Linked DNA regions of Drosophila melanogaster. The protein of the gene in region 1 interacts with the protein of each later gene in a pairwise test. Each region holds a gene or a part of one and is shown in the gene's direction. Other genes may lie near its edges. The genes, in order: fs(1)K10 and CtsK1.

Region 1 (6,291 bases):
TTGCGGTAAGCCTCCGCCACATAGTCATCAGGTGTGCGCTTCTGGAAGTGAATAGTCACCGGAAATTGTCGAGCCTCCACTTTAAGCAACGGTGGCGGAATCTTAAACAAGCGAGTATTCTCTGTAAAATCGGATACCCGCAAAGTGGCAGACATAATGATCAGCTTCAGCGGCTGCCCGCGTTTGTGACGCAAGGGCACGATCCTTGACAGGAGACCCACTAGGATGTCTGTGTAAACACTGCGCTCGTGCGCCTCGTCCAGGATGATCACTGAGTACTTACTAAGCAGAAAGTCAGTTTCGATCTCCTTAAGCAACACACCATCTGTCATGAATTTAATGCGCGTCGCTGGTGTTACGTTTCCCTCGAAGCGAATGAGGTATGACACCTCGCTCTCCGGCAGGTTCATCTCGTGGGCCACCCGCTTGGACATGGCAATAGCAGCCACTCGCCGCGGCTCCGTCACTCCAATCATCTTGTGCTGGGCATACCCCGCTTCGTACAGGAACTGCGGTAGCTGGGTAGTCTTTCCAGAGCCAGTCTCACCAGCCACGATCACAATGGGGTTTTCGTTGATTGTCTCCATCACCTGCTGCTCCTCCGCGAGGATAGGCAGTCGAAGACGGGCATTCTGAACTTCTGTTGTCCGATGTACGGGCACATAGACAGTCTGGTGGATACAGGCAGGTGGGTTAGGCTCTGGCTTCAACTTTTTAATGGGTGGTTTAACAGCGATTTGCGGTGGAGCTATAGACACTGGAGTGGGTATGGCAATAGGAGCGGATTGAGCTGGTGCCTCCTCATCGTCCTCATCAGAGGATGAAGAATCTTCGTCATCTTCCTCCACGCTAATTACATTCGGATTCTTTCGCTTGGCCTGTAGTTCCTCCTCCTCTTCGACGAGAAGCTTGCGCTTGGAGCCCTTTATAGCATTTACGCGGAGACCCGACGCCGAGCTTTTTTCAGCTAAAACTTGGGCCTGTCTTTCCTTTTTCTTGGCTAGATACTCGTCAAGGGTGGGTAGACGCTTTAATCCCACGGTTTGCACTTGGCTAATGGAAGTATACTGCTGCAGCTCCTCCTCCGGAATTTGAACGGCAGCAAGGTCACCCAACAGCTGAGCGCGCTAAATTAGAAAAGATTTCAATTAAATATCAGTTTTATATTAGCACTGAATAAAAACCTACACCCTCTTTCTTTTTCTTCTTGTCCACAATAGCCTGGAGGTGCTTGCGCTGCTTCTTGGAAAGGATCTTCACGTGTTGCACTTTGTCCACCTTAATCTTGGTGGCCCGCTTCTCGGAGGGCAGAACCAGAGCGTTGGCCTCATCGTAGCCAACCTGGTTGCCGCCGGCCACAGCATCCACATCGATCTGAATCTGTAGAGTATTGGATTTGGAAAGGGTAAGAAAGCGGATTCGAGTGTGTGGTCCGACGGATGACCTACCTTCTTCACGGCCGAGTTGTCCACAATTGTTTGTGGATTCTGCCGCGCCTTGGCATTGTGCACCTTCTTGCCCATGATTACTTTACTTTACCAATATAGTTAATAAAATAAAGTAACAGAATTAACTTTGGGCAATAATATAAACATTGATTTAAATCACACGTGCGAAGTACGCTTATCGATAACAGCGCAGGCGATAACAAAAGTTGAGATACTCTAAAATGTGCTGTGATGTTACATTTGTGTTAGTGGAAACATACATTAGTGGGAAAAACTGATTGTTATAGTTGTTCACACTCCTTCGACAGCACTGGTATCGAAACGTTATCGCAATCGATTCATCGTAATATTTTCAATATAAGTTTTTGTGACAAATAGGCGTGCAACATTTTAGATCCATCTGCTCCCCGCCTGTCGTTTCGGCTTGGCTCCTCTGCTCGAGTCCTGAACCCCCGTTTTCAGTGAAATCCAGCTACCTGCAATGGTGTCCAAGAACCAATTCTATCAGAACTGGACCATGCAGTCGCAGCAGCAGCACCCGCACCAAATGCAGCAACAGTTTCAGCAACAGCAGCAGCCAAATCTGCAGCACCGCAACAACCAGAGCAACAATAATAATTGCAACAATAATCCCCGCGCAGCTGCGGCTCCGTATAGAAAACCGTTTCGTTCGGGCAAAATTAACTCCGGACCAGGAGGAAATGGGAATGGTAACAGGGTCAACGGTAACAATCAGATGATGTTTTCCTCCAGCCAAATGCCGAGCGATCCCCTGTACATTGACTTCAGCAGCCCGCCACCAGGATTCAAACACAATCAGGTAGGCAGTCCCAAGAAGAAGTCTATGAAGGGCATCAAACAGCAGCAGCATCCCAGTCCGAACCAGCAGCAGCCTCCCAGTCCGAACCAGCAGCAGCATCCCAGTCCGAACCAGCAGCAGCATCCCAGTCCGAACCAGCAGCAGCATCCCAATTCGAACCAGCAGCAGCATCTCAGTCCGAACCAGCAGCAGGGCAAGATGAACAACCAGAACAACAATCATATGAACCAGTCGCAGCAGCCCTTCAACAATCAGATGAACGGAAGCGATTGGCAGCGCCATCCGGGCAACAATCCCAATCAGATTCGCGGTGGCTTTAATGGATTCCAACGCGGGCCGCCTCCGAACCGTCCTCCTCCACGCCTCATGATGGGTCCGCCAATGGGTCCGATGGGCCCCGGACCACGGGGACCCGGACCGATGGGCCCTGGAGGACCTTACCCGCAAATGCCTTTCCCGCCACCGGTGCCTGGTATGCGCGGTCCCGGACCCATGGGCCCCATGGGTGGACCACCACCGCCGCCGCCACCGCTCTTTATGCGTCGCAACGGACCCGGTCCAGGTCCTATGATGGGTGTCCCACCGCCCATGCACATGATGGGTCCACGGATGCCGCCGCGGGGAATTCCACCGGTCGGACCTTATGGACCAATGAACATGAATGGCGGCCGGATAATGAAGCCCAATCCCAAGCTAATCAAGCAGGTGGTGAAAGGCAAGAGCAGCATAAAGACACTAAAGAACCTGATCAATCAGTATCCCATCGAAAAGCCCTGGGTAACGGACGAGATACGCAGCGAGCACGACAAGAAGGTGGACATCGAGAACAGATTGAAGGGCCACAAAGACGACGAGCTCTTCGCTCAGTACAAGGGCCAGCGGGACAAGTTCGTTAGTCTCTACGAAGCGGCGCGGGAAGAGTATCTCAAGCAGGAGGCAGCCACTGTCAAGGCCAAGGTGAGCATATAGAGACCCCCCAACATATCCTTATTCCCTTGGAACAGGTGTCCCATCCGAAGCTCTATTCAGGGAGGCACACCGATTCCGGGTACAGTTTCGGCTTAATCCGGAATCACTTTGCACCCCTGATTTGATCCGTAACCCCCACCCGTCCCTCTTTGTTGCGTTTGCCGGGCGGTAGGAAAAAAATAAGAGAGCAGAGAAAGTGAAAAAGTAAGTCTCAACCTGATGCACTCTCTCGCATTATCCTGCAGTCCTGCGGAAGGTTGTTGTCATATCTATTTTCACCTTCGGTTGTTCCCTTGGCACTGATATATATCCGCAAAAGAGAAACTATTGGCATATATTTACAACCATAGATTTATTAGGAACTGAACAAAATTGTGTAACTATTTAGAACTGCAATACAATGTGTTTACTGCCACCTTGTATACAAATTTAAAAAACTAATAGAATTTTGTACTGTTCGATCGTGGCAGGCGTAGTAGATTCATAAATGCACTCTTAGTAACTTAATATTCTTAATTGAACGAGCCTCAGTACTGAATCCTATGGCTGTTTTCATTTTCCAATTTGGTTGGCATGTGAAAAGCGAACTTAATGAATTTTAAACTGCCAGAACATCAATTTAGTTACTTAATTAGCAGATATAACCCAACTTATGAAACTCATTGCATATGAAATGATAATGATTTGAGTGATTAATGTTCGTGGGCGTAGTTATCTGGAAATAGCCAAGAGAAGTTCGCAGAATGCATTTAATAGCGAAAACAGATCTGAGAGCTCTTTTTACACACTCAACAACCTTGCTATTGAACACCGTTGGCAATTCTCGTATTTCTTTTGCAGGATGCCAAGTCAGACAAAGACAAAAACGCAATTTCAAGTCAGAGCGCAGCCCCTAAGGCCGGAAGCGCTAAAGATGCAACAATTCCAAATCCCTAGGCAGCCAATGCAACCGAATCCGAATACCGAATCAATCGAATCGAACCGACTAAAGAAGAGGTCGGTCGACTCACAGAACTAAATGTAAACTTAAACTTTAAACCAATGAGCAATTCAAAACTAAAACTAACAGCGAGCAACAGCAAGAGTCTGACAATTGAAGACGAATATAACTCAAAACCCCGACTCCTATATCGGATATACGTATACACAATCGTAATCCGAGGAGGCGCCGCCTTTGTCACACGTTGCTTTTGCGACTGAGAACTGAGCTTAGAACGATAATGTAGCAACAAATACAAACCCAGCGATAATAATGTGGGCGAAACTCTAGTAATAGCGATAAAAATTTAGATTGCGAATCGATTCACTTGTCTAACGTAACCTAGCGTAACGTAAAGTAGAGTATTGAAATGTAACCGTAACGTAACGTAACGTACCAGTTTCCTATTCGAAAACTATTTGTTGTTCAATTCTAAGTTGCAGCCATTTCAAGTATGTGTACACAATTTATGACACGCCCTTACCTATATATGTATGCATATATATTGATATATATATATATATAAATTATTTTCCTATTCGTTGCCCGAGTGCGTGGGCGCGACATAATTGAAACAGAGTGGCCGGATCCTAAGCACTCTGGCATAAATCACACTGTAGGCCTTAGATTACACCACTTGATTGTATTTTTAAATTAATTCTTAAAAACTACAAATTAAGATCACTCTGTGAACGTGTGCTCGATGGTGTGCATCTACGGATTTGTTTTTGTGTTCTTTTTCCCCACCCAACCCCGTCCCTGACCCAATTCCGCTGTTCTCTTTACCGACTTGTAGATTAATCACGCTCTTGATCTTCATGACCGGATCCACCTGACAAGTAACGCCAAAGCAGCCCCACTTAGCGGAATAGTAGAGCCTAGGGGACCCAACGTAAAAACTCTAGTATAGCACCAATCTCCCAACCAGTTAACATTATACCTAAACCCATGGTCAAGAGTAAACATTTCTGCCTTTGAAGTTGAGAACACAATTAAGCATCCCCTGGTTAAACCTGACATTCATACTTGTTAATAGCGCCATAAACATAGCACCAATTTCGAAGAAATCAGTTAAAAGCAATTAGCAATTAGCAATTAGCAATAACTCTGCTGACTTCAAAACGAGAAGAGTTACAAGTATTTGTAAGGCACAGTTTATAGACCACCGACGGCTCGTTAGGGCTCGTCATGTAACTAAGCGCGGTGAAACCCAATTGAACATATAGTGGAATTATTATTATCAATGGGGAATATTTAACCCTCAGGTAGCAAAGTAATTTAATTGCAAATAGAGAGTCCTAAGACTAAATAATATATTTAAAAATCTGGCCCTTTGACCTTGCTTGTCAGGTGCATTTGGGTTCAATCGTAAGTTGCTTCTATATAAACACTTTCCCCATCCCCGCAATAATGAAGAATACCGCAGAATAAAGAGAGATTTGCAACAAAAAATAAAGGCATTGCGAAAACTTTTTATGGGGGATCATTACACTCGGGCCTACGGTTACAATTCCCAGCCACTTAAGCGACAAGTTTGGCCAACAATCCATCTAATAGCTAATAGCGCAATCACTGGTAATCGCAAGAGTATATAGGCAATAGAACCCATGGATTTGCCCAAAGGTAACCGAGACAATGGAGAAGCAAGAGGATTTCAAACTGAACACCCACAGTGCTGTGTACTACCACTGGCGCGTTTGGGAGCTCACTGGCCTGATGCGTCCTCCGGGCGTTTCAAGCCTGCTTTACGTGGTATACTCCATTACGGTCAACTTGGTGGTCACCGTGCTGTTTCCCTTGAGCTTGCTGGCCAGGCTGCTGTTCACCACCAACATGGCCGGATTGTGCGAGAACCTGACCATAACTATTACCGATATTGTGGCCAATTTGAAGTTTGCGAATGTGTACATGGTGAGGAAGCAGCTCCATGAGATTCGCTCTCTCCTAAGGCTCATGGACGCTAGAGCCCGGCTGGTGGGCGATCCCGAGGAGATTTCTGCCTTGAGGAAGGAAGTGAATATCGCACAGGGCACTTTCCGCACCTTTGCCAGTATTTTCGTATTTGGCACTACTTT
Region 2 (4,950 bases), on another chromosome or scaffold:
GAACTATTCGCCAGTTTTGCGAGAGATTAAAACGTGAGAAAATTAAAAAATGTTTTTTGGCAAACTTTTGAAAAGGGCTCATAAATAAGAAAGTTTTGCCTTTCAGTTTGGTTCCAGGAATTTAGGTAAATGTTATTTAAAAATTAAATTTACTAGTCTTTTTTTAAATGGATACGACGTTACTATTTACATATTTCTCTTTTAGGGAGAAATAAATGATTCTCTAGTTTCGCACATAGGATTTTGATTATCTACACTAAATGGTTAACTATTTCTTGTTAAAAATTGAGAGAAAACGAAGTCAAAAGTATTTTTATATTGAATCACATTCATTCCACTAAAAGGCCAAAACAAATATGCTTCATATTACAAACAATCCTTTTACAAAGAAGCTCTTATTCCTTGCTCAAAATGCAATTTTCGTTCCACGTCAATATCCAATTACACCTTAAGAGGCATTCAAGGTCTTCTAGCATCCTGCTGCTTGTGCTTTTCCACGAACATAATTTATATTGTTTTTGTTGACTTTTTGATGACCGACTGTGTGAGCTGGTGAGCGGCGGAATAGAGAAAATGTAACAACTGTGACAAGGGCAGGAAATGCTCCTCTATGCCCATAATACTATACAGATTTGAACCAAAAACACATACATATAAACGCCAACAGCTATGTACATACATATGTATTGTATTGTAGTACCTATGTATGTGGATGGATCATGTATATGTATGTTCGTCTGGGAGTTCTTGTTTTTGTGTGGGGATTCAAAAGGCCTGCCAAAACAGCCAATCAGGAACCAATCAGCGATAAATCAAAGTTTGATTTCATTTTCAGCAACGTTGCTACCTTTTTCGGACTGCTTTTCCTCCGCCGCCAATTACAGAAACATTTTGTTTTCGCCTATCGCGTTAAAACTTTCACATAATTCGCCTAACTTGGCGTTTAAAACATTTAACTTTGGCCAATTCGGCGCAGGCAAAACTTTTTGCCTCACTGGCACGCACACACAAGCACTTTTCGTTTAATTTTTAATGCACTTTTAATTGCGTTTTCTTGTACGGCGCACTTGTACGGTTTGCAGTTTGCATTAATCCACGTCTTACAACATTACCAGATATCTGTGTGTTGTCTAGTTCTTGCTGGTATAAAAAAACCATGCGATTTGGGAATCGAACTTGTGCGATTGGCGAACTTAACGGTACTGAGCCGAACCCACAGCTGTAACGGTAAAGAACGATGTGTGGGCGAGGACGACAACGACGACGATGCTGCTCCTTCGGTGGTAGCTTGACATCTGCTCGGGGTCCTTTCGGGATCCCGTGCTGTCCGACTATCGGTTCGGTTTGAGAGCGGGCGCAATGCAGCAAAACTTGGAGTAGGTTCAAGTTCCGAAGAGAGGGTGAGACTTTATATCGCTGAGACACAGAGAGAAGGGAAGAGAGAGCCGAGAGAGAGTCGTTGTGATGAGACAGATGAGTGACTATCTATACCTCCTGACTGTCAGCTGTTTAACGAATTTAAAAATAGAATTTTTCCAATCCCGATTTTGATCCCTAGACACGGTTTTATTTTTTTCTGACAAATTTTTCTATTTTAATCTTGAATATTAGATCATTCGCGGTTTTTTCGATTATTTTTTATTGAAAGCTTAGCCAGAAAGAAGTGCATCCAATATTTTAAATTAAAAAAAAAAACATTTAATCTCAGCACTTTGGTCACACTAGATGTATAAAATATCTGTATAATCATGTGCACCCTGTGCACGCAATAAAAATTGTAATTGCTATCGATATTTAAAATAATATTGCAAAATCAAACTAAACCTCTTAAGTTACAAAATCGAAGCACATGATATTTTATTAAAATAAAGAAGCAATTCTTCAGTAAGTGAACAGAAAAGATATTTCTTCTAATAAAGAAATTCTTAAATAAAAGAAAATGTTAACGGATTACATAGAATTGCGAATAATTTGTAGAATAAAATACTACCATGACAAAAAGCAAAGAACTTTGATAAGCTCTTATTACAAACTAGAAAGCTCTTCAACCGATTAATACCGATGTTTTTCACGGCGGCGTTATCTCCTCACCCATAGAAAGTTGTTGTTAAAGCAATCGGACTATTGAGCCGGCAGAACAGTTTAATTCTTCGAAAAGATAGGTAGTATACTAGAGTCGGGATCAATTAATATTCCAGACAATTCTCTGGTGAATTCTCAAGAATGCAAGTGTTTTTAGCTTTAGCCCTGCTCGCAGGCTTGGCTTTCTCAGGTGAGTTATAGACGTTAGAATGCTAAAGTGTTTAGCCAAACAAAGAGTAATTGTTTCTGCGTTTGTGTGCGCTTTAAACTAATGCACACATGCATATATTAAAACAATCGAGGTCATCGTTTTAGGATTGAAACTTTAGCTTATCATCATTTTTTTTGCCATGAAGTATATTTAAAAAGTAAAAAGAACATGTTTTTATTAAACTTTTAAATTAGATCAAATAAACGTAAAAGGGCATGTACTGCTATTTTGACCGCAGCTGTATATATACGAAGTATATAAGCAATGGCGTGAGCTTAAACCTCGATGGCTGCCCTTTACCGTTTCTTATTGTCAAGTTCCCGCTCATTTCTCATCTGAATCTCTCCACACTTTCGCCAACGACAATAGCTAATGCCACGAATCCGCCGAAATGGGATCCAAACTACATAGTCAAAGGAACCCTGTACATTCCGTACGCCGAGATTGCGGAACCCTTCTACGCCTGGTATGACAAGAATACGAGGCGATCCCGCATCGATTACTACGGCGGAATGGTGAAGACATACCAACTGGCTGGCGAGGGTCAGTACGGAACCCTGCTGAAGCTGGCACCGATTACCACCAAGACGGAGAACAACAAGCTAACCTGTCTGCAGGTGAATGGCACCGCCGACCAGGCTGTCGATATTCAGAGCATCCTGCCCGATGCGAAACCTTTCAGCCTGGTGGGCACCGAATCCTTTTTGGGCTACACGTGCGACAAGTTCCGCCTGGAGTCGACAATTGGCCAAAAGAAGAACATCTATACGCTGTGGGTGCGGTACAAGAAGTCGCCGCATTATCCCTCCAGCCGAATGCCCATTCCCGTGCGCTACGAGATGAGGGGCTATAACACCCTGCTGGGATCGCACTACGATCATTACTACTTGGACTATGACAGCTACGAGCACGATGATATTCCCAACGAGGTGTTCGAGATCGATGACAGCCTGCAGTGCGTCGGATTCCCCGGACCCGGCACCGGTCACTATGCCACCTTCAATCCCATGCAGGAGTTTATATCCGGAACCGATGAGCATGTGGACAAGGCCTTCCACCATTTCAAGCGCAAGCACGGAGTTGCTTATCACAGCGACACGGAACACGAGCATCGCAAGAACATCTTCCGTCAGAACCTGCGCTACATCCACTCAAAGAACAGGGCCAAACTCACCTACACGCTGGCCGTTAATCACTTGGCCGACAAGACCGAAGAGGAGTTGAAGGCACGACGAGGATACAAATCATCGGGCATTTACAACACCGGCAAACCGTTCCCCTATGATGTGCCCAAGTACAAGGACGAGATTCCCGACCAGTACGACTGGCGGCTATACGGCGCTGTCACTCCGGTGAAAGGTGGGTTCATTCATTCCCTAAGTACTTACTTAGATGAATTTGATAATATTGAATTGCTTAAAACGTAAACTACCCTTAGATCAATCTGTGTGCGGATCGTGCTGGTCATTTGGCACCATTGGTCACCTGGAGGGCGCCTTCTTCCTGAAGAATGGCGGCAATCTGGTCCGGCTTTCCCAGCAGGCGTTGATTGACTGCTCGTGGGCCTATGGCAACAATGGCTGCGATGGTGGCGAGGATTTCCGCGTGTACCAGTGGATGCTGCAGTCCGGCGGAGTGCCCACGGAGGAGGAGTACGGTCCCTATCTGGGCCAGGATGGCTACTGTCACGTCAACAACGTGACGCTGGTGGCACCTATTAAGGGATTCGTCAATGTGACCTCCAACGATCCAAATGCCTTCAAGCTGGCTCTGCTCAAGCACGGTCCTCTGTCGGTGGCCATTGATGCTTCTCCCAAGACATTTAGCTTCTACTCGCACGGAGTTTACTATGAGCCAACGTGCAAGAACGATGTAGATGGACTGGATCATGCTGTCTTGGCCGTGGGCTATGGCTCGATCAATGGAGAGGACTACTGGCTGGTGAAGAACTCGTGGTCCACCTACTGGGGCAACGATGGCTACATCCTGATGTCGGCCAAGAAGAACAATTGCGGTGTTATGACCATGCCCACTTATGTGGAGATGTAGATTGTCCCGCTCCCGCCTACATATTTCTTATTTTGTGTACTCTTTTTATTTTTACGCCCACAGGGCGCTAAATATGCAATACATTTCATAAACTCTTTTGTAATCCAAGTCTTTTGAATCTTATCACTGCTCCGCTTGGCTGGAAATGGAGCTAAGTTTAGCTTGGGTCATTATCTCCGCAGTCCATGGTGTTTCTTAAGTTAATTCCATGCCGATAAGCCGATAAGCCTAGAAGACAATGACCAGTTACCAGTTGAACTTTGCGCAAGTTGCAACAGTTTTATGCGAATCGGGGTCTTTGCCATTTGTAGTGGAAATCATTTCTACAGTAAAAACTCGCTACATTTTTAAAAATTTTAATCATTTAATTTCATCAATATTAAATTAAACATATAATTAGTTTTAAGAATCTTTACTTTGAATAATGATTCTAAAAATAAGTATACCTTCTTATTTAAAAAACTTGCAAGCAAAGCATTGAATTTTTACATTAAACCCGTTTTACAGTTTTTCAATTAAAATAAATTAAAAATATAACATGAAGAATACTTTCAACTGATTCTACAATTTTCACTGCTACTACATTTCATTTTAGATTAATTGTTCAT

Evidence for each region.
Region 2: the proteins of fs(1)K10 (region 1) and CtsK1 interact in a two-hybrid assay, tested with the Drosophila melanogaster proteins (one large-scale study listed by BioGRID).

The regions. Positions count from the first base shown.
Region 1 is NC_004354.4:2,240,380-2,246,670, forward strand, and holds fs(1)K10 (female sterile (1) K10), read left to right. Parts: upstream 1-1,758; 5' UTR 1,759-1,929; coding exon 1,930-3,225; intron 3,226-4,077; coding exon 4,078-4,173; 3' UTR 4,174-5,662; downstream 5,663-6,291. Other genes in the region: kz (kurz), read right to left, coding at 1-1,127, 1,189-1,380, 1,449-1,523; Or2a (odorant receptor 2a), read left to right, coding at 5,852-6,291. UniProt on the Drosophila melanogaster protein: May be involved in localization of sqd to the oocyte during oogenesis.
Region 2 is NT_037436.4:13,992,129-13,997,078, forward strand, and holds CtsK1 (cathepsin K1), read left to right. Parts: upstream 1-2,102; 5' UTR 2,103-2,223; coding exon 2,224-2,272; intron 2,273-2,662; coding exon 2,663-3,652; intron 3,653-3,731; coding exon 3,732-4,342; 3' UTR 4,343-4,443; downstream 4,444-4,950.